Sus scrofa: one gene and its partners. The protein of the gene in region 3 purifies or fractionates together with the protein of the main gene of each other region. This does not show direct contact. Links are inferred from orthologs where the notes say so. Each region holds a gene or a part of one and is shown on either strand. Other genes may lie near its edges. The genes, in order: NUDC, PLD2, DNAJA2 and ENDOG.

Region 1 (7,340 bases), about 47 Mb from region 3:
CTTAACCCACTGTGCCACAGTGGGAACTCCCCATTTTAACCATTTTTAAGTTTATAGTTCAGTGGCATTAAATACATTCACATTGATGTGCCATCATTTCCACCATCCATTCACCAGCCTTGGATGAGTTTTGGAATATCTGTTAATTATCCAAGTGGAGTTGTCCAGGGGCGCTGTCCAGGAGGTAGGTAAAGAGATGGTCCTGGCACTCAGGAAATGTCTGGGTGAGGTACCATGAGTATAAATAGAGAGGAAAAGAGGAGAGGGTAAAGGACAGAGCCCCCAACATTTATAAACCTGGGTAGATCAGAACACGGAGAAGGAGAGTTAGTGAAGTGGGAAGAAAACCATGTAAGTGTGAGGACGTGCAAACTCTGTCAGTCTGCTAGGGCTGCCATAACAAACTATTACAGACTGACTTGACAACAGTAGTTAATTTTATTACAGTTCTCCAAACCTGGAAGTCCAAGATCAAGATGTTGGCAGGTTTGCTTTCCTCTGAGGCTTCTCTTTTTGGCTTGCACATAGCTGCCTCACGTGGCCTTTCCTCCGCTTGCTCGTGAGTCCCTGGGTTTTCTTTCTCTTCTAGTAAGGACACTAACTATTTTGGATTAGGGCCACATCTGTATGAATTAACTCTAATTACATGTTTAAATACCCCTATTTCCAAAAAACAGTCACACTGGGAGTAAGGGTTTCTTCTTAATTTTTTTTTTTTTTTTTTTGGCTCTTTAGGGCAGAATTGTGGCACATGGAGGTTTCAGGCTAGGGGTCGAATCTGAGCTGTAGCCACCGGCCTAGGCCATAGCTACAGCAACTCCGGATCAGAACCTCATCTGGGACCTATACCACAGCTCATGGCAATACTGGATCCTTAACCCACTGAGTGAGGCCAGGGATCAAACCTGCGTCTTCACAGAAACTAGTCAGATTTGTTTCTGCTGAGCCGCGGTGGGAATTCCAAAGAGAGTTAGGGTTTCAATATAAGAATAATGGAGGAATACAGTTCCATCCATAACAGAAGACTAGGGAAAAAATTGTTTCTAGAAGGAAGAAGAGGTCAACTGTGTCAAATGCAGCTGAGAAGCTGAGCACTGTAATAGTGCTTTACTGGTTTTGGCAATAAGTAGGTCATTGTATCCTTGGTCAGAGTCTTAAGTAAAGACCAGAGTAAATCGAGGAGAGACGGAAGGTGAGGAAGTGGAGAAACAAGTATAGCAAATTTTTTTCAAGTTTTGCTGTCAAAGAGATTTTAAAATTGGGATAGGAGTTCCCATCGAAGCTCAGTGCTTAACGAATCTGACTAGGAACCATGAGGTTGCGGGTTCGATCCCTGGCCTTGCTCAGTGGGTTAAGGATCCGGTGTTGCAGTGAGCTGTGGCGTGGGTCGCAGATGCAGCTTGGATCTTGCGATGCTGTAGCTCTGGCGTAGGACGGTGGCTATAGCTCTGATTGGACTCCATGTGCCGCAGGAACGGCTCAAGAAAAGGCAAAAAGACAAAAAATAAAATAAAATAAAAAATAAAAAAATAAAATTGGAATGGTAGGAGGAGAAAAGTTTGTGTGGGGGGGTCATAGAAGAATAAAAAAAGAAGTGGCATTAAAGTATATTTGTAAGTTAAAAGGGATGATCCAGAAGAAAGAAAATTGTGATGCAGATTCATTGAGTAGGGAAAAAAAAAAATTCTGATGCAGGAGAATTAGGAAAGGATAGTAAGAGTAGAATCCCTGAAAAGACTAAGATGATGAAATTCAATACAAAAGTAGAGGGTTTGGCCTTAGATGGCTGGGGTCTGTCCCGCACAAAAGTGAAGTTCGAATTTAGCACTCATTACATAATTTGCATGAAACTGCGCAAAATGACAATGCGGGGTTGGGGGTGGGGCTCTTGTTAAAAAATATTAAGAGTCTCAGGACTGCAGCAGAAGAGCATTAACCCCAGCACCAAGGGACTTTCTAAGTCCGGGTCCCCTGCGACTGCACAATTTGTATGGAGTATGTGATGACAACAGGGGTAGGCTGTCTTTTGGGGCAAGTTCCCTTCTCCTTTCTGGGCCTCAGTTGGCCGATGGAAAACTTGGAAGAGATGATTAAGAACGCTTTACCGTTCTACAAGCTCAGCGGTCACTCTCAAGGCGTAAATTCAAAGTTTGTGCTTTTTCAACTTTCAGGCCCGCGTGATTTGAGCCCAGGGTTTTCTGGAAGGCTCCAAAAGGTTCCTGGTGACCATAGCAACTCACACCAAACTCAGAGGCCTTCGACTCCGCCCACCGCTCACGGACGCGCTCTTTGATTGGCTCAGCAAGTCGACCAATGGTCAGTGAAGCGGGCTGCTTGCCGCACGGTCAATGGCCGCTGGCCACAAGGGAGGCGGGAGGAGAGAGCAGGCGGGCGGGCCAAGGCAGCGGGGCGCGTGCGTGTTTCCGTCTCCGCTGCGGAAGGCGGAGGACTGAAACCGTTGCACCGGACGCGACCCGAAGGCGCCGAGAGCGCGGGACGCGAGAGCAGAGCTCAGATTTCGGAGCGTGGCTAGCAGCTGGCAAGATGGGTGGAGACCAGGAGGAGGATCGTTTCGACGGCATGTTGTTGGCGATGGCGCAGCAGCACGAGGGAGGCGTGCAGGAGGTAACGACCCGCTCGGCATTGGCTTGGCCTGGCCCACCCAGGCGGCCCAGCCACTCTCTTTCCTCCCTTCGCTGCCTTCGAGAGACGAGATCCACCCCTGGGCCTTGCGGGCTTTAGGATCCCGCATTCTCATTGCACCCCAGCTTCTAGTCTGGCCTCCCCGCCGCAAGTCTTGCGCTCGGACCAGTTCTGGATCCCTGGGGCCCCTCAGTAGTTACCATCTTAACAGCTCTGGCATCCCTTTATCTGCCCCTGGGAAGGCCCGAGTCTTGGAATCCCTTCCCCCTCTTTAGTCTCCAACCTGCTTCCGGCCCTTTTCCCCTCTGGTGGCCGCCCCCAAAGAACATCCTTTAGGATGTTCTAGGCATTGAGATTTGCATGTACCAAGACTTGGGGCGAGCGGAAGAATGTATGCGATGTGTGGGGGTGGGGGGGGTGATATTAACACGTGGTCTTTCTAGATCTTGAATGAGAGAATAGGAGGCGTGTTTTGCATTTCCTAACAACTTGGACTGTTTCATGTCTCCAAGCTTCAGTTTCTTTCTTTGAGACAGAGCTACGAATCCTTACTTCCTGAATTTGTAGGAGAGTAGTGTCTTGAAGTGAAGGACAGTGAAGAATTCTCGGTAATCAGACTCGAACATTCAACAAGTGTTTGTTGAGTAATTGATGTGTGCAAGAACATAATTCATGCTTAGTGACCAAACCCAATAACATGTGTAGGAAAAGGATAAGGACCAACTAGTAAAGATTCTGGAGTTGGTTTTTTGGACGATGGAAAGTTAAACGTAGCAAAACCTATCAAGATTAGTCTTTCTTTAAAGAAACTGAAGGAGCTTGCCCAAGCTCATCCAACAGGCTCCTGGCTTAGAGGGGACCAGAATCCTTAGGCCAGTGTGTGCTTTCCACAGTCCATTGTTGATTCTGTGTCTCATTGGAGCCTTCCATTCCCATTCTCATTCAGGTCCCTGTGGGAAGAGTGCTACTAATTTGCAGATGTGAAAGTCTCCCTTCTCCTACCCCCCTAAATTGTTGTTGCACCTGGATTTGGAAGTGAGTTCATTTTTGAGTGAATTGAAAAAGTGTCCAGAAGCAGGAATTGAAACTGTTGAGATAAATTCTAGCGTCAGATTTAGAACCTCTCACTTGGGCAAATAAAAGGGCTTATTTATATGTGCCAACCCTCAGTCATCACTAGATCTTTTTGCTCAGCAAAAGTTTTCTGAGCATGCACTCTGAGCCAGGTCTGGTGCCAGGCCTTGGGGATGTACACAGAGTCATGGTTCATGGTGCCTACTTGTGAGGAGCTCTCTCTGTGGCCGAGGTTCTTTAGCCAGACGCTATTAAGGACCTCACCTGCATGTCTTCCTTTGGTCCTCTCAAGGATCCTCACGTGTATCCCTAGAAATTGGTCCTGCTGCTATTTCTGTTTCATAGAGTTAAGACACTGTCCCCAGGTCACAGAGCTAATGTATATCAATCTAATGGCCAAAACGATGCTCTTTTTTTTTTTCCTTTTTAGGGCCACACCCATGGCATATGGAAGTTCACAGGCTAGGGTTTGAATCAGAGCTGCAGCTGCCAGCCTATGCCACAGTCATAGCAACGCCAGATCCAAGCCATGTCTGTGACCTGCACCACAGCCCACTGCAACGCTCGATCTTTACCCCACTGAGCAAGGCCAGGGATCGAACCCATGTCCTCATGAATATTAGTTGCGTTCATAAGCACTGAGCCACAACGGGAACTCCCAAACCGACGCACTTAACAACTTGACTGCACTGATGCACCCAGCCAGAGTTAGCTGGTTTTGGAGTTCCCTGGTGGCCTGGTGGTTATGGATCCAGTGTTGTCCATGCTGTGGCTTGATTTTGATCCCTGGCCCCAGGAGCTTCTGTAGCTAACCTCCCTCCTCCCCTCAAAGAAAAAAACACCAGAGTTAGTGGGTCTTAACCTTCTTTGAAGTGGCCTTCTTTGTTCTCTCCTTCCAGCTCTGCCCTAGTAACTCAGCCAGCGCCACTCTGGATGGGCTTTTTGCTACATGGAGAGGAAAGCTAGGCCCCAGGCATTTCAAACCTGGATGCAGTGCCCCATATCCTCAGGCTGCTTCTAGCATCACAAAAAATGTGAAATACACATATGCATATACACAAGAAATGAGAATTCTCCCTTTCTGTTGCTCTAGATCAGGTTAGGTTAGGCTTCCTGGCAGAAGTAACTAAGGCAGGGCTGTTGGGGGGGATGTTTTCCCAGTTGGGAGGCTCAGGGTTGAAATGGTCCAGTCCCAAGTTCCTTCCTAGGTGAAGGAGGTTGCTTGTGTGTGGTTAAGGGGCTCCCTGTATGGCACCTCTACAGCTTCAGTCTTTTGCCTTCTGTCTTTCAGCTTGTGAACACTTTCTTCAGCTTCCTTCGTCGCAAAACAGACTTTTTTGTTGGAGGAGAAGAGGGGATGGCAGAGAAGGTGAGTGTTGGCGAGCTTACCTGGCCTTCCTTTGGCATAATAATAACCTTTCGCAGAAGTTAACACGCCAAGGGCAAGAGTTGGGGAAGGAAAGCATTTACTGTCATTTATTGAAGTCCCTTTCCTTGCCAAGTGCTTTATCTACCCTGCTTTCCATGGTCCTTTAGCAGTTTGAGAGGGGCAGCTGTTACTATCTCCGTTTACAAAGGAGAACGTTGCTCCGAGTTATGAGAGACAGGTTGGAACCAGAGTCTGTTGTAAAACTGCCTTCTGGCCCTGGCATCACGCTTCTTGGTTTCTTTTCTACTGTGGAGGTTTTATCTAATTACCTAGCTGGGAGATGAGAGCAGGCAAATGTAAAACACTGAGCTTAGAAAAACAGATGTCGGAAAAATCAAAACCTACCAATCCTAGTCTTGCCAGATGCTTGTGACCCAAAGTTCAAGGATTTGAGAATTGCAGGGGGTTTTTTTGTTTTTGTTTTTTTTAACCGAAGTCTAGTTGATTTATAATGTTGTGTTCGTTTCAGGTATACGGTAAAGTGATTTGGGTTTTGTGTGTGTGTGTGTGTGTGTGTGTGTGTGTGTGACAGTGAAGAAGTGATGGGTGTTAGGGCACAAGTTCTGGGAGCATAAAATGGGGGCTCCAGGAAAACTTCCTGAGGAAGAGGTGCCTGCGGTACGAAGGCTGAGTAAGACAGCAGGCAGAAGGGAGAGAGGTGAACAATATCCAGACGTTACATCTCAGAAGTATCCCAGGGATGACGGTAGCTGCCACGTATTGGATGTTTGCTGGTCCCTCTTAGACCCTCCCTGCTGTGCTCCTTAGAGTCACCTCTTCCCCAGGAGGTTGGTCAGACCCTCAGGCAGGCAGAATCCTGTCCACCCTTCTCACCTGGTCTCCAGTGGTAACACGCTAACACCTTTATGTTGAGCACCTACTGTGCGCAGGGCTGCCAGATAACATCACTTTCAAGTCCTTGGGTTAAGAGCTCGGCTCTGGAGCTAGGTGTCCCCTCTCCCTGCTTGGCAGCTGTGTAGCGTTGGGTGAATCACTTCCCGATTCACTTGGTTTTCTATAAGACAGGGATGCTCTTTCCCTCACGGAGCTGTTGTGAGGATATAAGGAGGTAATATAGTGTGGCTGGCATATGCGAATACAAGTTCACAGTCCCTTTTTCAGACCTCTTGGGGTCAGGAGCATTTTGAGACATAGAATTCTTTGGCTCTTTGGAGGCCATACGGAGTATATACTGTCCATCACATGCAGGACCCCAGTCTGGGGGTCAGGAGCGGCATCCTGGAATGAAACTTGAATATTTCCGCAGAGAAATATGTATCAATATTTATACCATGTGGGAGATAATGAAGACTGTAAATATCTTCACGCTACAAACTTAGAGAAATACAAACGCACATTTAGTTTTTATAGTCTGGGGCTAGGAATTATGGATTGGAATAAAGTCATAATGATCACATCAGTATGTTACTGACAGAGAAAAGACAAATGGACTAACGAAGCAGAATAGAGAACCCAAAAAGGTCTTGCACGTATGAGGATTTAAGATGGGTCCAGTAAGGTAATTCAGTTCAGTAGGCAAAGGATGATTTAATAAGTTGTGCTGCTACTACTGGCTATTTATCTATAAAAAATGTAGCATCTGTTTTACTCATATCTAAAAATATATTGCAGCTCAAAAGAACCTCTTGAGGAAAGCTAGGAAACTAAGTATAGTCTTCTGTGGAGGAGGCCTGGCAAGGATAGAAATCTGGAAGCTATATGGAGTTCCTGTCGTAGTGCAGTGGTTAATGAATCCGACTAGGAACCGTGAGGTTGTGGGTTCGATCCCTGACCTTGCTCAGTGGGTTAAGGATCTGGGATTGCTGTGGCTCTGGCGTAGGCCGGTGGCTACGGCTCCGATTTGACCCCTAGCCTGGGAATCTCCATATGCTGTGGGAGTGGCTCAAGAAAAGGCAAAAAGACCAAAAAAAAGAAAAAAAAAATCTGGAAGCTGAAGGAGAAAAGGTAGCTGTTGGCCTCTTCAAACACAGGAAATGTGTAGCCAAAGAGACTTAATGACATCTAAAGTCTATTGAAAAGAAGTAGATTTGGGAAAAAAAAGTGCAATGGAGAGGACAGATAAAATTTAATAGCCAATTCAATATGCAGGGACTCTTGTAAATTGACATGAAAAGGATAGACAGACAAATGGGCAGTTCCAAGAAAAGCATATGAAAAGATGCTTAAATTCACT
Region 2 (7,184 bases), on a different chromosome or scaffold from region 3:
AGTGGTTTTTACTACATTCACAGAGGTGTTGAACCACTACAACTTTTTTTTTTTTTTTTTTCCTATTTTAGGGCGGCAGCCACAGCATATGAAGGTTCCTAGGCTGGGGTTTGAATCCGAGCTGTAGCTGCTGGCCTACACCACAGCCACAGCAACTCAGGATCCAAGCCGAATCTGCCTGGATCTACACCAAGCTCACACCAACACCAGATCCTTAACCCACTGAGCAAAGCCAGGGATCAAACTTTAGTCCTCATGGATTCTAGTCGGGTTTGCTAACCACTGAGCCATGAAGGGAACTCCAAAAGGCATCTTTTTTTTTTTTTTCCCCACTGTACAGCAAGAGGATCAAGTTATCCTTACATGTATACATTTTTTCCCCCACCCTTTGTTCTGTTGCAACATGAGTATCTAGACATAGTTCTCAATGCTACTCAGCAGGATCTCCTTGTAAATCTATTTTAAGTTGTATCTGATAACCCCAGGCTCCCGATCCCTCCCACTCCCTCCCTCTCCCATTGGGCAGCCACAAGTCTATTTTCCAAGTCCATGATTTTCTTTTCTGTGGAGATGTTCATTTGTGCTGGATATTAGATTCCAGTTATAAGTGATATCATATGGTATTTGTCTTTGTCTTTCTGGCTCATTTCACTCAGTATGAGAGTCTCTACTTCCATCCAAGTTGCTGCAAATGGCATTATGTCATTCTTTTTTATGGCTGAGTAGTATTCCATTGTGTATATATACCATATTTTCTTAATCCAATCATCTGTTGATGGACATTTGGGTTGTTTCCATATCTCTTCTCTTCCTATATGGATGTCTTTTATTTCTTTTGTTTGTCTAATTGCTGTGGCTAGGGGCATCTTTACTTTTTAAAAAAACAAGCCACATTCTGGGCGAAAATATTTGCAGTGTAAATGCCGGATGAATGATTTGCATCCAAAATATATAAATAACTCTGACAATAATAAGACAAATAATGTTTTTGTTGTTTTAAATCAGTGAGAGTTCCCATCCAAAATATATAAATAACTCTGACAATAATAAGACAAATAATGTTTTTGTTGTTGTTTTAAATCAGTGAGAGTTCTCATCATGGTGCAACAGAAGCGAATCTGACTAGTATCCATGAGGATTCAATTTCAATCCCTAGCCTCAATCAGTGGCTTGAGGATCTAGCATTGTCGTGAAACGTGCTGCAGGTCCCAGACTCGGCTCGGATCCCGTGTTGCTGTGGCTATGGCATAGGCTGACAGTTGCAGCTCTGATTCGACCCCTAGCCTGGGAACTTACATATGTTGAGGGTGCGGCCCTAAAAAGCAAAAAAAAAAAAAAAATCGGGGCAAGAATTGAACACTTAACAAAAGAGATACAAATGGTCAATAAGCACCCAAAACATGGTCAATCATTAATCAGGGAAACACTAACTACAACGAGGTACTATTTTACACTAATTAGCATGGGTAACACTAAAAAGATTAAAAATATCAAATATTGATCATGCAGCCTAACAGCTGGAACCAGCATACATAGATTCTGGAAACTTAAAACAAAACAACCATTTGAAAAACAGTTTGGCAATCCCCCCATTTTAAAATATTTCATTTATTTGAAAAGTTATTTTCTTTTGGAGTTCTTTTGTGACACAGCAGGTTAAGGATCTGGCATTGTCATTGCAGGGGCTTGGGTAACTTCGTGGTGTGGGTTCGACCCCTGGCTCAGGAACTTCCACAGGCCACTGAGGGCATGTCTTTTATGCCTTTTCTAGGGCTGTTCCCTCGGCACATGGAAGTTCCCAGGCTAAGGGTCTAATCAGAGCTGTAGTGGCCAGCCTATGCCACAGCCACAGCAATGCCACATCTGAGCTGCATCTTCGACCTACACCACAGCTCACTGCAATGCCGGATTCTTACCCCACAAGCAGGGCCAGAGATCGAACCTGCAACCTCATGGTTCCCAGTCAGATTCGTTAACCACTGTGCCACAATGGGAACTCCAAAAAAAAGTGCTTATTTATTTATTTATTTTGTCTTTTTGCTATTTCTTGGGCCGCTCCCGCGGCATACGATGATTCCCAGGCTACGGGTCGAATCGGAGCTGTAGCCACCGCCCTATGCCAGAGCCACAGCAACTCGGGATCCGAGCCGCATCTGCGACCTACACCACAGTTCACGGCAATGCCAGATCCTTAACCCACTGAGCAAGGGCAGGGACCGAACCCGCAACCTCATGGTTCCTAGTCGGATTCGTTAACCACTGCGCCACGACAGGAACTCCAAAAAGTGCTTTTTAATGGCGACTTAAAAATAGCCCTGGAGTTCCTAGTTGTGGCTCAGTGGTAACAAACCCAACTAGTATCCATGGGGACTCAGGTTCAATCCCTGGCCCCCTCTCAGTGGGTTAAGGATCCAGCATTGCCATGAGCTGCAGCAAAGGTCACAGACCTGGCTCAGATCCTGTGTTGCTGCAGCTGTGGTGTAGGCCCACAGCAACAGTTCTGATTAGACCCCCAGCCTGGGAACTTCCACATGTCATGGGTACAGCCCTAGAAAAAAAAAAAAATAGTCTTCGTTTGACACTTTCTTCACTGTCTCTATATTTTAAATGTGTACAATTAGGAATCAAATGAGTTTCGCCATTTCTTAAAAAGTTAAAATACAATTACATGACCCAGCAACTCCTCTCCTAGCTATTTACCCAAGAGAAATGAAGACATATCTACACAAAGACTTACCCAGGAATGTTTATAACAGCTGTAGTCATATAGACAAAAACTAGATACAACCCAAATGTCTATCAAGAAATATCCATCAACCCATTCCTCCATCCAGAAGAGATAAATCTACTTTTTAAAAAATGAAATATTTTGTCTTTTGTAACCTGAAAAATAGCCTGTTTTCCTGTTTGCTCTTCGGTAAGTTCCAGAAGAGCAGGTGCTGTGATAGTCTTGTTCACTATTGTACGCCCAGTGTCTGGCGCAGAGCAAGCGTGCAATAAGGAATGAATGAAAGAAAACTTGGGTACGTTAATGAACTAGTGGCCACCAGTCCTCAAGGCTTCCATCATTCCTTCCATCTGCAAATGCCAGCTGGGCCGGCCCGGGCATTTCTCCGGTCGCTTCTGCAAAGTGAGTCCGGCCAGAGGCCCAGGCGGGATGGGCGGCCGGAGGGGACCCCGGGGGCCCGCGCCCGCGCGGAGGAGGGTGCGCAGCGCCGAGCGCCCACAGGGCTGCGGCCCGGCACGTGCAGATCGACGGCGCGGGACAGCCGGGTGGACAGAGCCGCGCGGATGCTCGGAGCCTGCTGCGCGATCCCGAGGCGCAGAGGGCGGCCCCCAGTCCCCGGTAGCGCGCAAGGACGCCGGGGCGGGCCGAGGGCGGCGGGGGCGGGACAGGCCGGACGAGAATCCCGCGGAGGTGAGGCCGGAGGCCGGCCCGCCCCCGGGGGCAGGCCCTGAGCGCCCGCCCCGCCCCGGCCCGCTGGGGTGTGGGTTCCCGCTCCGGCTCTGCACCGCTCCCTCTGCTTGCGAAGCCGCGCCCTCGCCGGCTCCGGCTGCCCGGGTGAGGGGACCTGGGAGGGGGCGCCGCGGAGGTCCCGGGCCCGGGAAACAGGGCGGGAACGGGAGTGGGTCCTGGCTTCGGGGCCTCCGGACTCAGCCCCATGCTCAGATTTCGGGGTTTCCCTCCCGGGCGGGGACGCGTAACTTCCTCATTCCCGCCTGGACCCCTTCTTCCAGCTGGCTTGGCCTGGCTGGAATCCCGGCGGTTCCGGGCCCTTTGCAACCCCCGGGGTCCCTCCCCTGGCTTCTGCTGTGCCTTCCTTCGGGGCCTGGCCGGGTGTTCCTCGGCACGCTGGTTAGGGGACTGGAGGCGGAGCTCAGGGATTCTGGATGAAGGATCGAGATAAGGGATGGAGATTAGATGCGTTGCAGACCGATGGGCCATTATCAGGGAGAGGATGGGTGTCAGCGGGAGCCGGGTGGGGGGAAATGAGGGACCGACGGGAGACGGAGGACCGTGAGATGGGATGGGAGACAGGGTTCTGCAGAGCAGATCGCCTTCCCGAAGCTTCCCCGTATTCCTAGGATGGCGGCGACCCCCGAGAGCCTCTTCCCGTCTGGGGATGACCTGGACTCGAGCCAGTTACAGATGGAGCGGGATGAGATGGACACTCTGAGGGAGGGAGAGGACCCAGGTACACCCCGACGACAGCCCCGGAGGAGAGGAGGAGGAGGGCGCTGAGACCTCCTGGGGTCCACATTCTTCTGCTTTCTTTCCTGCCAGCTGACCGGATGCACCCCTTTCTGGCCATCTACGACCTCCAGCCCCTGAAAATGCACCCCCTGGTGTTTGCCCCTGGGGTCCCTGTCATAGCCCAGGTGGTGGGCACTGAAAGATACACCAGTGGATCCAAGGTGGCTGGAGGGGGCAGGGGAGGGCTGGTCGGAGTGGGGGGCTGCCACCCATCCAGGGAATGAGCATTCAGTTCCTCACCCCCCCCCCAGGTGGGAACCTGCACCCTCTATTCTGTCCGCTTGACTCACGGCGACTTTACCTGGACAACCAAGAAGAAGTTCCGTCATTTTCAAGAGCTGCATCGGGACCTCCTGAGACACAAAGTCTTGATGAGTCTGCTCCCACTGGCTCGGTGAGGGGGGACCAGACTGCCTCCTGGGAAGGGCAGGTGCCCCTCACCTCGGGCAGCCCGGGCTGCCAGCCCCCAGCCCCCGTCACTGCCTTCTGCCTGCCTCATCCCCAGGCCACAACCATTTTTTTTCCCCAGCTACTTTCCTCCCCCACCTCTGGCCCCTGGGTCCCCTCCTTTGACCCGGGTCACCAGGAAACCTTCCCTGTTCAGCTCACCCTGTCCATGGTTCTGGGCCAACATCCCAGCTGGGCTGGATGCCCGAAATGCCCTTGGCAGCCTCCTGAACCTTTTTCTGCCTCCCTTCTCAGGGTAGGGGGCATTCCTTCTGCCGGCCTCTAGGCCTCCCCCTGAACCCCCTCTCCAGGGCTTCAGGGACCCAGGCACCCAGCTCCCCACTCTCATCGCGCCATCCTTTCCACAGCTTTGCCGTTGCCTATTCTCCAGACCGAGAGGTGGCTGCCAGAGAGATGCCCTCTTTACCCCGAGCAGGTCCTGAGGGCTCCACCAGACATGCATCCAGCAAACAGGTGGGACTGGACAGGAGGTCCTCTGGGAAGGCGTTTGGGGTGCAAATGGTCCTGGTCCCATCCGTCTCTGTCTCCCATCCCTACTTCAGAAATACCTGGAGAATTACCTCAACTGCCTCCTGACCATGTCTTTCTACCGCAACTACCACGCCATGGTGAGGTCCAGGGGCTGGGGGGCTGGGTCTTTTGAGATGGCACGGGATGACGGGGACCAGGGTCGGTTGGGTTTGAGGGGCTGACGATGAGTGTCTCCTCCGAGCCTTTTTCTTCCGCTGCAGACAGAGTTTCTGGAAGTCAGCCAGCTGTCCTTTATCCCAGACCTTGGATCCAAAGGACTGTGAGTCTGACACCCCTTCCCCAGCCGCCTCTGGATGGATCCCTCCTGGCCTGAGAATAGGGTAGACTGGGGGTCTGGATCCCCCCATTCAGCATCTCTTCCGGGTCTTCCCCGCAGGGAGGGGGTGATCCGGAAGCGCTCAGGCGGCCACCGCGTTCCTGGCCTCACCTGCTGTGGCCGAGACCAAGTTTGTTACCGCTGGTCCAAGAGGTGAGGCCTGAGCAGAGCAGCTGGGCCGTGGGTGGGGGTGGTGGAAGGGGTCCCAAGAACACGGAGGAATGGTCGGAGCTCTTCCGCTCCAGGTGGCTGGTGGTGAAGGACTCCTTCCTGCTGTACATGTGCCTCGAGACCGGCGCCATCTCCTTTGTTCAGCTCTTCGACCCTGGCTTTGAGGTGCAGGTGGGGAAAAGGAGCACGGAGGCACGGCACGGGGTCCGGATCGATACCTCTCACAGGTATGGCCCCCCCTGGTGTGGACAGAAACCTGCTGAGTGAAGAGCCAGCCTGGGGCCCTAAGGCCATGATTCGGAACCAGAGAAAGGTTCTAGCTGGACACTCAGGACTGCTCCTAGAGGCTGGACCCAGAGAAAGGGGGTTCAGTGTAAGCTTGCAGGAGGGACTCTTGGTGTAAAAGAAAGGGCACTCGGGGAGTTTCCATTGTGGCTCAGCCAGTTACGAACCCGAACCCGACTGGCATCCATGAGGATGAGTGTTCGATCCCTGGCCTCACTTAGTGGGTTAAGCATCCGGGGTTGCCGTGAGCTACAGTGTAGGTCACAGACGTGGCTCAGATCTGGCATTGCTGTGGCTGTGGTGTAGGCTGGTGGCCTTCAAAAGCTTAAAAAAAAAAAGAGAGAGAGAGAGAGAGCGGAAAAAAAAGAAACAAAGAAAGAAAGGGCACTCCCTTCCTTCATTTATTCATTCACCAAACCTGAGTGGCTGGCACAAAATTAAGTGCCAGAGACCCAGCTGGGAATACGGCAGATCTATGCCCTGTTCCTGTGGAGTCAGGCAGGGACTAAGGGAGGAGGTGGGGAAGAGGTAATAGCTAAAGGGGGGATTGGGGGCCTGGCCAGAGCCATGGAGGGTGAGGGTTGTGGTCCGTCTCATTGTCCAGGTCCCTGATTCTCAAGTGCAGTAGCTACCGGCAGGCACGGTGGTGGGCCCAGGAGATCACTGAGCTGGCCCAGGGCCCCGGCAGAGACTTCATCCAGCTACACCGACATGAGAGCTACGCTCCACCCCGGCCTGGGACCCTGGCCCGGTGGTGAGACACTGACATCCTTTCTGAACTTCTCTGTGGCCTTTTGGAGCCCTTTGGTGTTCTCTGAGTCCTGGATCCTTTTTATCTCCTGTAACCCCTTCTGACCTGAATAACCTTCCCCTTTGACTTCTCAAATCTCCCTGACCCCTGACCTCTTTAACCACGCTGACCTTTCTGAACCCCACCCTTGGTCATCTCTGACCTCTCTGACCTCCTGTGACCTTTTTTTAAAAAATTACTTTTATTATCTTTATTGTTGTACAGCCAGCATCACAACCCAATTTTAGACCACTTGCATCACAAACCCCCAGTCCAGCCCTCCCTTCCCCTCATCTGTCCACTTTGATAACCATAAGTTTTTCAAAGTCTTTGAGTCTGTTTCTGTTCTGCAAATAAATTCGTTTGTA
Region 3 (6,591 bases):
ACAGTGTAACAACATAAGAGGTTTACAATAGAAAGCCTACAAGTTTTAGACATCTGAAACACCCAGTGAATTATAAATAAAACTGTATAATTGAGCAACTTTTACAAAATTTTCAAAAGAAGTCTATGACCTCCAAAAAGGTCAAGTTAAAAAGCCTGTTAAAACTGTCAGGTTCCCACTGTGTCTCAGAGGGTTCAGAACCCAACATAGTCTCCATTAGAACGCAGGTTCCATCCTTGGCCTTGCTCAGTGGGTTAAGGATCTGTGTTGCCACAAGCTTTGGCGCAGATCACAGATGCAGCTCAGATCCAGTGTTGCAGTGGCTCTGGTGTAGGCCTGTCTCTCCAATTTGACCACTAGCCCAGCAACTTCCATATGCTGCCAGTGTAAGTACTGTAGCACTTGCTTTGTGGTATTTGAACTTTCTCAAAATTGTTACATTAAGCTAACTCTTTTATACATTGTAGGCAGTTTAAGAATAAAACATTTAGGGGTCAAAACAATAGCAGAACTTCCAAACAATGGTATATATAGATCTTAGACCAAAGCACTTGGTTGCATATGCCTTTTATATTCCTCCTAAAACCTTTAACCAACCATTTATATGATAGGTAAGTCTTTTCTCCTTTACATGTTACATTTCGATTAGTATATGCAACACTACTATCAAGAGGCCAGAAAAATCTTCATTTCAGTAAACACAGCAAAGGAAAGAAAAATGTGGGTAATGGTCTAGCGAAGCTGGCACTCTCCACCAGTGAGGCTCAACGGGCACAATCCTCTACAAGGCAATTTAGTTGCATTTATCAGCCTCAAAACAGTAAGGCCTGCCCAAGAATCACTACCAAGGAGACAAAGCTGTATATAAAGATATAGCACTACTTATTATAGAGAAAAACAGGTAACATTCTATAGAAAAGGGAATGAATAAATCATGGTACCAAATATTATAAAGCTACCCAAAATGAAAATGCTGTAATTAATAAAAGGAGAAGTTTGACAAATAACGTTTTACTCCCTCTTACCTACTCAACTGCACAAACTAGATAAACTATTATTAAAAACACTTGAACTTCAGTCTCTGGTATTTGCTCCTAAAACCATTACTGGTTCATGAAAATTAATGAGATAAAACACGTCACAAATTTTGCAAAGTAAAACAGTTATTTTCATATTGGGTTCACAGTCTGAGATCAAGGACAGACACCATTCATATGTTGGCAGGTTAACATCGGGCTCGAAGCCAGCAAGCTCCGTGGAAACCAATTTAGGAGAGTTCACACTGAGGATCAAGTAATGAGTGACTGTAACATGTCAACTAACTAGCCAGCCAGTCCCTCACTCTGTAGTTTTTATATAAAGTTTAAATACTTCAAAGAATTCACAACTGAAATTTTAAAAACAAGCAGCCTCAGAAGCATATACCAAAACTGTCTTCCTATTCTGTAAAAACACCAACCACCCTTCAAGATCTGTTAGCAAAGTGCCAACATCCAAATGGAAGATTTTTTTTCTGATGGAAAGAATATTTTTTGATAGCTTTTCTCTCTTCTACTTGGAAAAAAAAAAAAAGCAATCAGTATTTTTTTTTTAAAAAAGAAAAAAGATATTCACTTGAGTGGATGCATCATGTCTTCTCCTTTTCTTCTGCCATTTCGACTTCTGCTCTGATTGCCCATGAAGCCAAATAATCCCCCACCAAAAATGTGAGAGAAAATATCATCCATGCCACCACCTCCACCGCTACCTTCCCGAAGACCTTGTTCTCCATATCTGTCATATAACTCGCGCTTCTCAGGGTTTGATAGTACTTCATATGCAAAACTTATTTCTTTGAACTATAAAGAAAAAGAGGAAAACAACTGGATTTTTCAAATAGAATACTAAGGAAAGGCTACAAAAATCTAGAAGTTATTTAATTCCAAGAAAAGCTACACGTTACCTTTGGTTTGATTCTGGTCCTATTTACTACCTACTGATGCCCAGAATGTTAGTTATTTCCAATATAAAACCAAAGCACTCTTAACATAAAAAATTAGGCTCTACGGGCATAGATGGACTTTTCTTACAACATTCTCATTTTTTCCAAGAAGGGCAATTTAAGCTTAAAATTTTTTAAGGGGAAACCTCAGGGGAAAAAAGTCTCAAATGACTTACTTTGTCACCAGCATTTGGATTCTTATCAGGATGGTATTCCTTGGCTAACTTTCTGTATGCCTGAAGAAAAGATTGAAAAAAAAAAAACACAAAAAAACAAAAAAACGGTTATAATGTAAAGACCTGATTAAAGATTTGTATTAACTTCATAACCAATTTTCTGAGAAGCAATGTTCAAAATCATAACCTTCTAAAAACATCCTTTATTCATTGGTATTGGTTGGGCACCGAAAGGTCTCAATATTGTTTACTCAAATGTAACAAATCAGAATAGTTATATTGGAAAACAGGTTATAATGAAGCTGGAGACAAACAAACTAAGCCACAGAGAAAAACAAAGTACTGAAAAATTCCATTATTTTCACTATTGTCAAATGTGTTTGACAGCCAGTCACCAGACCAAGAAGACTGCGATAAACTCTAGAAGTACTTGTTAAGCTTTACACCCTGCAAAACATTATTATTATTAGAATTAAGCTAAGGTAAGAATCCCGGCTCATAATGGCTCCTCTAATTGTAACATCAAGACAAAGGCAAGACAAGCTCCTAGGTCATGCTTTTCCTCTGGTGGACTGACCGCAGTGTTACTTAAGTTGCATACATTTGGGTGGCATGAGATATAAAGCACTTAGGCGTTCATTCACAGACACATGAATTATGTAATACAGAATAGCATTTCCGGTAAGGTAACAGGAAGTCCTTTTACTCTCAACTGTACCCATCCCACTGCCTAAGGAGCATTCTCATTTTTCTCAGCTTACAAATCCGGATACTCTAAACCCCGTGAAGATGCTGTGCGGCTTAATCAAATGCCTCACGTGCTCTGAAATCCTGAGATGAAAGATCTCGTAGCATTGCAAAGAACGATAATGAGGCCTGCCGTTTATTTTTAGTCAGCATACACTTAGGTGTTTGGCTGGGACCCACGGCTTCTTCCTGAAGCAGGTACGGATCATTTAGGTTACCTGTCCACAGAACAAAGCACCCAGACACAGACCAATGAGCAAAGCAGGAAGAGAGGAAAAAAATCCTGCGGACCGGCTCCTAGGAAACAGCCCCAAGTACCCGCAGACACCCAGCGGGGGTGGCCTCGACCCTCCGCCAGGCCCCAGATCTGCCCGGAATCGGCTCGGGCACCGACGTCCGCACCCTGGACAACTCCTCACCCGGCGCCGAGATGCGCTGGGCGCCTCGGTCCAACCTGTTTTTCCGGGGTGGTGACCTCGGCGCGGGGAGAGCCAAGCAGGCAGTAGCCTCCCGGGAGAGCCCGGCCTCCGGCGCCCGCCGGGGGAGGGAGGAAGGAAGCATTTTCGTCGTGTTTGCGCAGGGGTGGGTTTTATTTGCTGCATCTGCGGGCGGGCGGGGCCCGCGGCCCAAGGTCAGCTGAGGCCGGAGTGCGCGGCCGCAGCAGGCCGGTCTCGTCGCCGGCCCCCAGCCTGGGCCCGCCGCCGCCGGCTCGCGGGCCGCCCCGCGGCGCGGCCTGGCTGTCCCAGCGGAGCAGGCCTGCGCCCCTCACGCCCTGCCTGGCCGGACCGCTCCCCAGTACCTTTTTCAGCTCGTTCTCGCTTGCGCCGGGCGGGACGCCCAGGATGTCGTACAGCTTCGTGTCGGCCACGTTCGCCATGGCGGCCGGCCGGGCAGCGCTCAGGGAGGAAGGCGGCGGAGCAGGCGGAGCGGAGCCGGGCCCACAGCGGCGGCAGCGACAGCGCAGGCGGTGCGAGACAGCGAGGGGGAAGCGAGGGGGCGGGGCTGAACTTTGGCCCGACGCACGGCGCGCCGTGACGTCACTGCGCGGAGCCCGCCCCGGGCGGTTGTGGGGGTCGTGGGGGCCGAGGGAACCCCGCTTGGTTCTGGCTTCCTCAGAGGCTCTGAGTCGCGGGGCGGGGTCTGGCTTCAAAACCCGGAGAACTAATTCTGCTGGGCGATCTCCAGGACTTCAGCTTTCTCCAAAGGTGTTTAAGGGGGTGCTGGAAGGGTGAAGAGGCCCATGCGGTCCATGGCCGCCCCCTTGATCAGCTTCGAGTACGGCGGTAAAGTTGGAAAGTTGGTCCGTCCCACAGGGGTCGTCCTAACAATCGAGATGTTTCAGGTGGACCCTCTGGATCTGGTTCCTTCTGGTCTTACGATGAAAAACACGTGTGTGTGTGTGTGTGTGTGTGTGTGTGTGTGTGTGTGTGTGTGCCCTGTGTGTTTCATATTAGGGTATTTTCAAACATTCCCCAAAAGAAGTGTATTATTGTCAATTTTGTTTCCTCTGTTACCACCTATACTCCCTGCTTCCAGTGTCTTACGGGAAACCATTTCGTTTATAAATACACCAAGTATATGTCCGACAGATGACCTACATGCAATGAATTCCTTTGTCTAATTCTTAGCCCACGTTTAGATTTTCGCAGTTGTCTCATGTCCTGTCATAATTGGTTTGTGGCATCTAGATCCACAGTTCCCACCCATTGTATCTGGATCAGGTATTTAAATTTTTTACTTGGTAGCTTTAAAATTAACTATCCAGAGATCTAGATGGTAGCAGGCAGCCTGGTTGGGCGCACAGTCATCTGGTGATTGTCCCCGTGATTTATATTCGCCTCAGAAAATGTTTGCTGTGCACCTACCACGTGCTAAGATGTATGGACGCCTGGACTGGGGGAGGGGAATGTTGCAAAATAGTGAACCATAGTACCTGCCTTCAACTCACTAGCAATTTATGGAGGCAGAAGAAATAAGATGTCCTGATCCTTTGGAACCTGAACTGGTAATAAAGACTCCAACATAAGCATCTAGCATCTAGTTTAGGATAATCCCTTCTCCTTGGCGTTCCTCCAGACCTCGTTTGGAGGGCCTTGAATGTCATGCCAAGGAGTTGAAGTTTATCCTGAAAACCCCGGGGAGTAATTGATGTGAAGTCATGATGCTCCTTTCACCTAACTCCCATTTTTGTCAAATCCTATCGAAAATGCAGCTCTTTCAGTGAAGTTTTCCTTGATTCTACACCCTAGTGAACATTGCTGTCTCATTTGTGTTCCCACTACCCTTGGCTAGTGTCTTTTGTGGATAGATCTGATGTAGGATTTGAATGGTATTTTGCTGTGAGTCTGAACTCCATTAAAAGGCTGTAGGTTCCTTAGGGAAAATTCACTCTTCTGTTTTTTGAATGCAAATGGTCTGGTTTGAAAAGTAAAGGCCTCAATAATTTCAATTTGTTCACTTCCTTTTCACATTTTGAGATGTTCATAAAAGGCAGTATAAAGTTTTGAGTTCAGTAAAGGCCTCAATAATTTCAATTCCCCCACTTCCTGTTCACATTTTGAAACATTCATAAGAGGCAGTATAAAGCTGTGGTGGAGTTAGAGTGTGTGGGCTGGTGCCCTGGCTCTGCCATGTATTATCAATGTGACCTTGAGCAAGTTACTAAACTTTTCTGAAGCTGTTTTCTCACCTATAAAATGGGATTCAATAGTATTTATATCATTGGCTGGCTTTGAGGATTAAAAGTTACTACATGCAGAATACTAAAAACAAGCTAAAACCAACTGTTTTTTTTTTTTGCCCATTTGCCTATAAGCTGTCTCCACATCTCTAGTGATTATCTTTATTTAAATTCTTGGATCCCCAAGTGGGATTCATCAACTTCTTCCATGTGGATTACCCCTCAGTCCTTTTTTGTGATCCAGCTCTCCCTGCTTGCCAATTACCATATTCTCTTCTTCCATCAGTTCCTGCTCCACATGAAAATATAAACTGAAAACTTTGTTTTTACTGCAACCTTCACATCATTTATTGTTTTATTTTCATCTTATTTTCTTTTTGTTCGTAGTCAAAAAGAACTGAACTTTTCTATTTGTTTCAGTTTTACTTAATTTTTTTTTTTTTTTTTTTTTTTTTGGCAAGGGTTTTCCCTTGGTTCAATTTTAGCTTCTGTTTTCTCGTGAAGAATACCTGGGTAAATTCCCTCCTTTGCTCTAAGTTATTTTTTTACCTGACTCTGAATCAGTCACCACAGTTCATACTTTTATAGTTTTCATTTATTTACAATATTTTTTCTGTTTCTGAGTGTTAATTGTAGTCAGCATTGTCATTTGCTAATGTTATAGGTCGAGAAGTTATTTCAGAACAGTTCTATGTGCTTCAACTGACACATGCTCTCCTCCCTGTCATCATATATTGAGTCAGTGTTAGTGTGAGCACTCTAACATTTCAGCCACTGACTTTGTGTTTTTAAGGTAGTTCATTTATTTTAGCTCCAGATTTAGCTAATGCCATGAAGGAACGAGACCTTTATCTCATTTCATGTCTTAGGCACCATAAAATGCTGAGTCACAGTGCATCTGTGGGCTGCTCTTGCTAGGCAAATGATTTAAAGTTTGAAGTTGGAGTGATTTCAGATTTCTCCTATACTTATATTATTGTTCAATTTCTTTTTTTTTCTTTTTAATT
Region 4 (7,024 bases), on a different chromosome or scaffold from region 3:
AGCTCTCCACTCCCAGTGCCTCCCCACCACAAAATTCTTGGAAACCCAAAGCTCTGAGAATTGGCCAGTGAAGCTGCCCGGTGAGGCGGGGTGGAGCTAGCTGAGTCTCCCAGAGGTTCCCCCAAAGGCCCATCTCTCCCAAAGGAAAAGGACATTAATGCGATCCTGTGCTGGGGCTTGGGATCCAGGTGCTTCTGAGGCAAAGGTATTCATTCCTATGGCTACTGGGTCTGGGCCCAGGGCAAGTGAGCCCCGTACAGGGCAAGTGGGACCAGAGGGAGCCTCTCTGGGCCAGGCGGAGCTGAGCTCGATGGCTGGGTGCCATCAGGGCCGGGAGAGCCACGTCTCCCCCAGGCAGGGGAGCTGAAGGAGGTGCTGGCCCTCATGTGGTCACGTGCTTGGGCTGCTCCAGGATCTGGGGCAGGTGTGTCCTGGATAGGAGCAGCTGGCAGTTCCCACTGCTGGGCTGTGGGAAGGGTTGGCTTGTTCCAACCTAGTACCCTCCTCGTTTAAGGAGGCAGGTGGTTTGTGCCTGGAAGGCTGGGTCATGTAGCATGGGGCCTCTTCATCTCAGACTGGCCAGCAGGGGCCCCCAGCCACCCCCCCCCCATGCCTTCCTGAGTCATGGCCAGGATTTGTGGATGGTGGCCAGGAACAGCTTCCCCAGGCAGCTCCTGTCCAAACTGTCTCTTGGATGCTTGTAGGACTTCATGCACTTGCCTTTATGCCTTCTCCTCTTCCAACAAGGTATTTGAGAGATTTTTGCTATTTATTCAGATTCCTAGTTATTTATTGCGATTGGCAAGTGCTCGATTTGATGAAGGGTGGGGCTGGAAGGGTAGAAACAAGTTGGGGTCAGGGTCTTCCACTCTTCCCGCCTCTGGGACCTGCCTGATTTTCCAGGAGGTCCTGGCTGGGAGGACTCTGTGAGAGGACTAGGTGTGAGGGAGACAACAGCTGGGATCCTTGCCAGAGCCCAAGACCCCGGCTCGGGGCAGAGACACGGCTGCCCAGCAGCCTGGCTCACCCTTTTCCCAGAACTTGTTGCTGGTGGTTCAGCCCCAACTTGATCCCTTCACAGCCTGGGGCCCAGCAGACACTGCCCAGGACACCTGATGCATTCCCTCTTGCCCGTCCCTCTGCCTTCCCTCCCGGGGCCCTACTACTTGAATCACTGCATCTAATTTGTCTAAGCGGCAGGACCTGGGTCCCCTGCCCTGTCTTTGATCTTGTGATGAAGGTCAGAAGAGCACAGGGACCATGTCCAGTTTAGGCTGAGCTCCCCAGTGGGATACTGCCCAAGGGAAAAAACTGCCCTTGGCAATTCCCCCTCCCTAGACTCAAGGGAGGTCCCCAGAGAGCCAGAGACCCCCGGGCTTCCTGCTCGGGAAGCTGCCCCCAGGACTTTGGATACTTACAGAATGGCTGTTTGAGTTCAGCTGGTCTCACTCCAAGGGTTAGAATGTTAGTCTGCTTTTGTTTTTTCATTTGTTTTGTTCTTTGAATCAGTGCTGTTGATGACAAGTTGTCTTTAATAAATCATGTGTTCTTTGCAGTGGGCGTTGGTTCTGGGATGGGCTGGAAACCTTTGAGACCTTGGAGCTGGAAAAAACAGTTGAGCAGGGATGACGTCAAGAGGCTTTCAGAGGAGTTCCCATCGTGGCACAGGGGAAACAAATCCGACTAGGAACCATGAGGTTGCGGGTTCAATCCCTGGCCTCGCTCAGTGGGTTAAGGATCCAGCATTGCCGTGAGCTGTGGTGTAGGTTGCAGACGCGGCTCAGATCTGGCGTTGCTGTGGCAGTGGCGCAGGTCAGCGGCAACAGCTCTGACTAGACCCCTAGCCTGGGAACCTCCACATGTCATGGGTGTGGCCCTAAAAAGACAAACAAAAACAAAAAAAGCCTTTAGAGTAGGCAGAAGAAAAGGCTAGGAAATTTTTGTTGGAAGAGCATGAGCCACTCTTCTTTAATAACTGCAGTTTGTAGCTGGGGGAGAGGAGGCTGTACTGGGGCAGAAGGTGTTATGTTGTGATCGTAGCAAGTTACTTATCTGTTAATTTGCCGAAACCTTCGGCATGCGGAAGTTCCTGGGCCAGGGGTTGAACCTGCACTACAGCAGCAATCAAGTCTTTGATAACCCGTAGTCTGGAGAAAATCACTGATAACATGTTAGTCTTCTTCCCAGAGGTAGATTTTTGTGTGTAATTGTCACCTTCCTCATTTTCTTGTGTATTGTCTCACCCCTCAGGTTAGGTGCTGAGCAAGTTGCTGTATGATTTTAAAATATTTTAATGCACTATATACTATTTTAATATGCTAAAAATGTCTGAAACCAGTTCCTATGTCTGACTATTTTGCTTATTCCCCAGCCTCTATTATGAGTAGTACTGTGGGGAGTGTTCATGTTTGAAATCATTGCATTCGAGGTTTATTCCCCCAGCTCAGTCCTCTAAGTGAGTTAGAAGGTATGAACCTTTTTACGGTTTTCATGCAGACTGCCAAGCTGCCTTCCGGAATCCAGCCAGCAGTTTGTAATACCACCTGCATGCATCGCGGTCCTCACGCTGGGTGTTAAAATCTTTGCTGGAGTTCCCGTCGTGGCGCAGCGGTTAACGAATCCGACTAGGAACCATGAGGTTGCGGGTTCGATCCCTGCCCCTGCTCAGTGGGTTAACGATCCGGCGTTGCCGTGAGCTGTGGTGTAGGTTGCAGACGCGGCTCGGATCCCGCGTTGCTGTGGCTCCGGCGTAGGCCAGCGGCTACAGCTCCGATTAGACCCCTAGCCTGGGAACGTCCATATGCCAAGGAAGTGGCCCAAGAAAAATAGCAAAAAGACAAAAAAAAAAAAAAAAAAAAAAATCTTTGCTAATCTCCTAGAAATTTTTTGCCTTATCTTACGATGTAATGGTTAGGAGCATAGACTCCAGTGTCGTTCAGACCTGGAGTCTTGTCCTTGTTCTCCCTCGGCGCTCTTGATTAAATCGAGTCATAATACAGGCAGTGTAGACTAGTGCTTGACAGGTCTCTGGAGCTCTTGAAGTAGGACCTCGGCACTGACGCAGAAGAGGTGGGGCGGGGCGGAGCCAGCCCTGGAGCGGCCAGTCACGAGTCGAAGCGGCGATGCCACGCCCTCTCAGGGCTCCCTCTTAAAAGGGCAAAAGGCACGGGGAGGTCCCGTAGGGCCGCTCCAGACCCCCACTGTTGGAGTCCTTTGCACTTTGGGGCGGGCTTTGAGTGGGCGGGGCCTACGTTCCGCCGTCCAGTGCCTCCACCCGGCGCAGTCCCCGCGGTGGGCCCCGAAGGCCTGCGCGGCTCCTTTAAGAACTCGCGGGTCTGACGCCGGAGGTCGCGGCGTTCTTTCGGAGCTGCGGGCCGAGTGCCCTCCACAGCTCAGGCCAGAATCCACGGCCATGAAGTTACTGCGGGCGGGTTTAACCCTAGCGCTGGGCGCCGGGCTGGGTGCAGCCGCCGAGGGCTGGCGGCGGCAGCGGTGGGACGCACGGGAGGCGCCCGGTTTGCTAAGCCGGCTCCCCGTGCTGCCCGTGGCGGCGGCGGCCGGGCTTCCCGCCGTGCCCGGGGCCCCGGCGGGCGGCGGGCCCGGCGAGCTCGCCAAGTACGGGCTGCCTGGGGTAGCGCAGCTGAAGAGCCGCGAGTCTTATGTGCTGTGTTACGACCCGCGCACCCGCGGCGCCGTGTGGGTGGTCGAGCAGCTGCGGCCCGAGCGGCTCCGAGGCGACGGCGACCGCCGCTCTTGTGACTTCCATGAGGACGACTCAGTGCATGCGTACCACCGCGCCACCAACGCCGACTACCGCGGCAGCGGCTTCGACCGCGGCCACCTCGCCGCCGCCGCCAACCACCGCTGGAGCCAGAGGGCCATGGACGACACCTTCTACCTAAGCAACGTCGCGCCCCAGGTAGCGCCTGGGCCCCTCGCCCCTGCGGCGGAAGGCGAGGCCACCCACTGCGCGCCTTCGAGCCTCAGGCTCTCTGCAAAGCGGGAAAGCTGCCGAGGGTGCGCCTAGGTCAGGCGCCTGGCGAGTCACACCGCGCCGCAGGCGGGAGGGACCGAGGGATGGGGCGCTGAGCATCCACTCTGCACTCTGATCTTAACCCCCGGGGGCCTCCCAGATCTTCAGTTTCCTTGTCTGTAAAATGGGGATAAAACGGTTACTCACCTACCCCTTGCAGTAGCGCTGAGGAACTGAAAACACCATTCAGGTACAGAAAAGTACTGAGCACGCTTCCTGGCCCATGGCAAGCGGTCAGTACCAGCTATCATGAGGAAAGCGAGTCTCAGACACCGAGTGACCGGCCCAGTGTCACATGAGGGAGGAGACCCAGGCAGTCTGTCTAGAGGAACCTGAGCTTTCATCCATTGTCCTATCTGCCTTCCTTCCAGGAGTGACAGCAAAGATCCCTGCAGGCACTGGGTGTTCGTAACAGTCACTGTGCACCCTGGACTAGCTGCCCACCTCTAGCCGTGTTCCCATCCTGGCCTGACACGCATGTGAGGACGGATGTCAGGCTCTGATGAAGCTGTAGGGTCAGCTGTAGCCTCTGACCTGACTTGTGACCTCTCAGGAGCACTGTGCCCTCCCGGTTTGATTAGACACTGTCTGAGGACCAGAGGGTTCAGGTTCTGGAGCAGACTCATGACCTTCCCGGCTGGGCTCTGCCTGTGGATCAGTTGAGGGAAAAGGCAAGGAGAGGTGCCCAGAGAGCTGGTCTTCCCATGAGGCCCTGGGGGCGGGGCCGGCCTATTTCTGGAAGATCTGCCCCTTTCCTTCATATGGCTCTTTGGAGCCAAGAGACATTTGTGAGTCCTGGGATGCTTGTTCGGCCCTTCTAGATGGGGTTATGCTGGCAACCCCTCGAGCTCTACCTGGGCTCCACCCTCATGACCATGTGGCCCAGGTGTCTTTCCATCCATGAATCTGTTTCCTCTGCTTGTCCTCACCTCTCCCCTGCCCCCCCCACCCTGGAATCTTCTGGCTTGGTGCCAATGCCCCACCCTCAGGGCCTGGAGCAGCCCTCTGACAGCCTTGCAAGTGTCCCGGCCAGTCTCACTGAGGCCCACCTCTCCTGCCAGGTGCCACACCTCAACCAGAATGCCTGGAACAACCTGGAAAAGTACAGCCGCAGCCTGACCCGCACCTATCAAAATGTCTATGTCTGCACAGGGCCGCTCTTCCTGCCCAGGTAAGGTTAGACCTGGGGACACCAGCACTGCCCACTCATCCCTTCCTGATGCCCCCAGGCTTTTTATCCACACCACCAGGTCTCGTGGAGTTCCCGCTGTGGCACAGTGAGTTAGGACTGACTGCAGTGGCTTGGGTTGCTGTGGAGGCACAGGTTCAATCCCCAGCCCAGTGCAGGGGGTTAAAGGATCTGTGTTGGGAGTTCCCATTGTCACTCAGCAGGTTCCAAACCGACTAGTATCCATGAAGATGTGGGTTCAATTCCTGGCCTCACTCAGTGGGTTAAGGATCTGGTGTGGCTGTGGCATAGGCCGGCAGCTACAGCTACAAGTTGACCCCTAGCCTGGGAACCTCCATAGGCTGCAGGTGCAGCCCTAAAGAAATCATTTGGCTTCTCAGCATGTCTGCCCCTCCCTGCCTCAGGCCCTCCCAGTTGTACTCCAAGGTCGGAGGCCAAACCCACCTACCCACCTAGACCCCGTGTCCTCTGCCCCTGGGCACCAGGCCCCAAATCTGCCCCTGCTCCTTTCTGGGTCTTCAGTGGTCCCATCCACTCAACTGTGTCCTGCCCAGACTGAAACCCTTGCGAGAGGCGCTCACCTTCACTCTCCTCTGCTTGGAGCAACCCCCCCCCCGCCCCTCGCTTCCCCTGGAGCCCGGCTTTGAACTCCATGTCCCTAACCCTTGTCCCCCCACAGCCCAGCCTCCCCCAGGTAGAAGGGACCAAGCTCCTCTGGGCTCGCTCGGTGACTTTTCTGGCCTGCTGAGGGCTTGGGACCAGTGAGGCGAGAGGTTGTGGCCAAGCAGCTGGCTGTGCCTGGGATGGACTCTGGGCCCTGCCACCTGGTCTCTGGGTGCCCTGGACAGGTGACCTCCACCTTCTCTCCTGTAAGATGGGGATAATGCCTGCTACCTACATAGCAGGTGTTTAAGGGACAAAGTGGGTGTCACCCACTTTAAGGGAGGGAGGATGCCACCTCAGGAAGGCTCACCGTGGGCTTGCTGAGGCGGTGGCTGGGGCACAGATCCTCTTTAATGAGCCAGGGCCTCCCCTGGTCCATGGTCATGGAGCAGACTCTGGGGAGGGTCAGCCTGAAGTTGCCCATCCCACATTCCGGGCACCTGTCATGCCCCAGGCCTCTGCTGGTGCCAGGGATTCAGCCGTCACAGCTCTGCTCCCTTGGCGCTCACTCGCCACCAGAAGAGACGGTCAATCATCAGGTGTCCACACGGATGAATGTGGATGTTTCTTTCTGCAGTGTTTATTGTCACCACACACTCTGGCTGACCCAGTGCTGGGTGTGAGGGAAGCAGGAGAAGAAGCACGTCTACCCAGCAGGAAGCACCCAGCCTCCTGGGGGAGCCAAGCCCGGGGCCAAGAAGCCTCACTCTGTAGGGGCGGTCCTGCAGGTCCAGTCAGGGAAGGCTTCCTGGAGGTGGAGGCCCTTGGTCAGACCAAGCTCCCTGGGAGCGCTGAAAGGCCATGTATGTCTGGGTCTGCCCACAGGACAGAGGCTGACGGGAAGTCCTATGTGAAGTACCAGGTCATTGGCAAGAACCACGTGGCGGTGCCCACCCACTTCTTCAAGGTGCTGATCCTGGAGGCAGCAGGCGGGCAGATCGAACTCCGCTCCTATGTGATGCCCAACGCGCCCGTGGATGAGGCCATCCCGCTGGAGCGCTTCCTGGTGCCCATCGAGAGCATCGAGCGGGCCTCGGGGCTGCTCTTTGTGCCGAATATCCTGGCCCGGACGAGCAGCCTTAAGGCCATCACTGCCGGCAGCAAATAAGGGCCGCCCCAGCCAGACTGTGGGGTCCTGG

What was found.
Region 1: the proteins of DNAJA2 (region 3) and NUDC purify together in Homo sapiens (affinity purification with mass spectrometry; 4 studies listed by BioGRID and IntAct, with this or other methods). This does not show direct contact. The link is inferred for Sus scrofa from reciprocal best matches to the Homo sapiens genes DNAJA2 and NUDC.
Region 2: the proteins of DNAJA2 (region 3) and PLD2 purify together in Homo sapiens (affinity purification with mass spectrometry; 3 studies listed by BioGRID and IntAct, with this or other methods). This does not show direct contact. The link is inferred for Sus scrofa from reciprocal best matches to the Homo sapiens genes DNAJA2 and PLD2.
Region 4: the proteins of DNAJA2 (region 3) and ENDOG purify together in Homo sapiens (affinity purification with mass spectrometry; 3 studies listed by BioGRID and IntAct, with this or other methods). This does not show direct contact. The link is inferred for Sus scrofa from reciprocal best matches to the Homo sapiens genes DNAJA2 and ENDOG.

Annotation. Positions count from the first base shown.
Region 1 is NC_010448.4:84,236,259-84,243,598, forward strand, and holds the start of NUDC (nuclear migration protein nudC), read left to right. Parts: upstream 1-2,436; 5' UTR 2,437-2,544; coding exon 2,545-2,625; intron 2,626-5,008; coding exon 5,009-5,086; intron 5,087-7,340. UniProt on the Homo sapiens protein: Plays a role in neurogenesis and neuronal migration. Necessary for correct formation of mitotic spindles and chromosome separation during mitosis. Necessary for cytokinesis and cell proliferation.
Region 2 is NC_010454.4:52,084,020-52,091,203, reverse strand, and holds the start of PLD2 (phospholipase D2), read left to right. Parts: upstream 1-3,399; 5' UTR 3,400-3,562; intron 3,563-4,086; 5' UTR 4,087-4,087; coding exon 4,088-4,196; intron 4,197-4,285; coding exon 4,286-4,416; intron 4,417-4,506; coding exon 4,507-4,649; intron 4,650-5,070; coding exon 5,071-5,176; intron 5,177-5,265; coding exon 5,266-5,331; intron 5,332-5,454; coding exon 5,455-5,513; intron 5,514-5,630; coding exon 5,631-5,723; intron 5,724-5,815; coding exon 5,816-5,968; intron 5,969-6,630; coding exon 6,631-6,780; intron 6,781-7,184.
Region 3 is NC_010448.4:37,589,237-37,595,827, reverse strand, and holds part of DNAJA2 (dnaJ homolog subfamily A member 2), read right to left. Parts: 5' UTR 3,782-6,591; coding exon 3,704-3,781; intron 2,218-3,703; coding exon 2,158-2,217; intron 1,839-2,157; coding exon 1,615-1,838; intron 1-1,614. UniProt on the Homo sapiens protein: Co-chaperone of Hsc70. Stimulates ATP hydrolysis and the folding of unfolded proteins mediated by HSPA1A/B (in vitro).
Region 4 is NC_010443.5:269,150,732-269,157,755, forward strand, and holds the start of ENDOG (endonuclease G, mitochondrial), read left to right. Parts: upstream 1-3,223; 5' UTR 3,224-3,412; coding exon 3,413-3,919; intron 3,920-5,094; coding exon 5,095-5,204; intron 5,205-6,441; exon of another isoform or gene 6,442-6,710; coding exon 6,711-6,993; 3' UTR 6,994-7,024. UniProt on the Homo sapiens protein: Endonuclease that preferentially catalyzes the cleavage of double-stranded 5-hydroxymethylcytosine (5hmC)-modified DNA.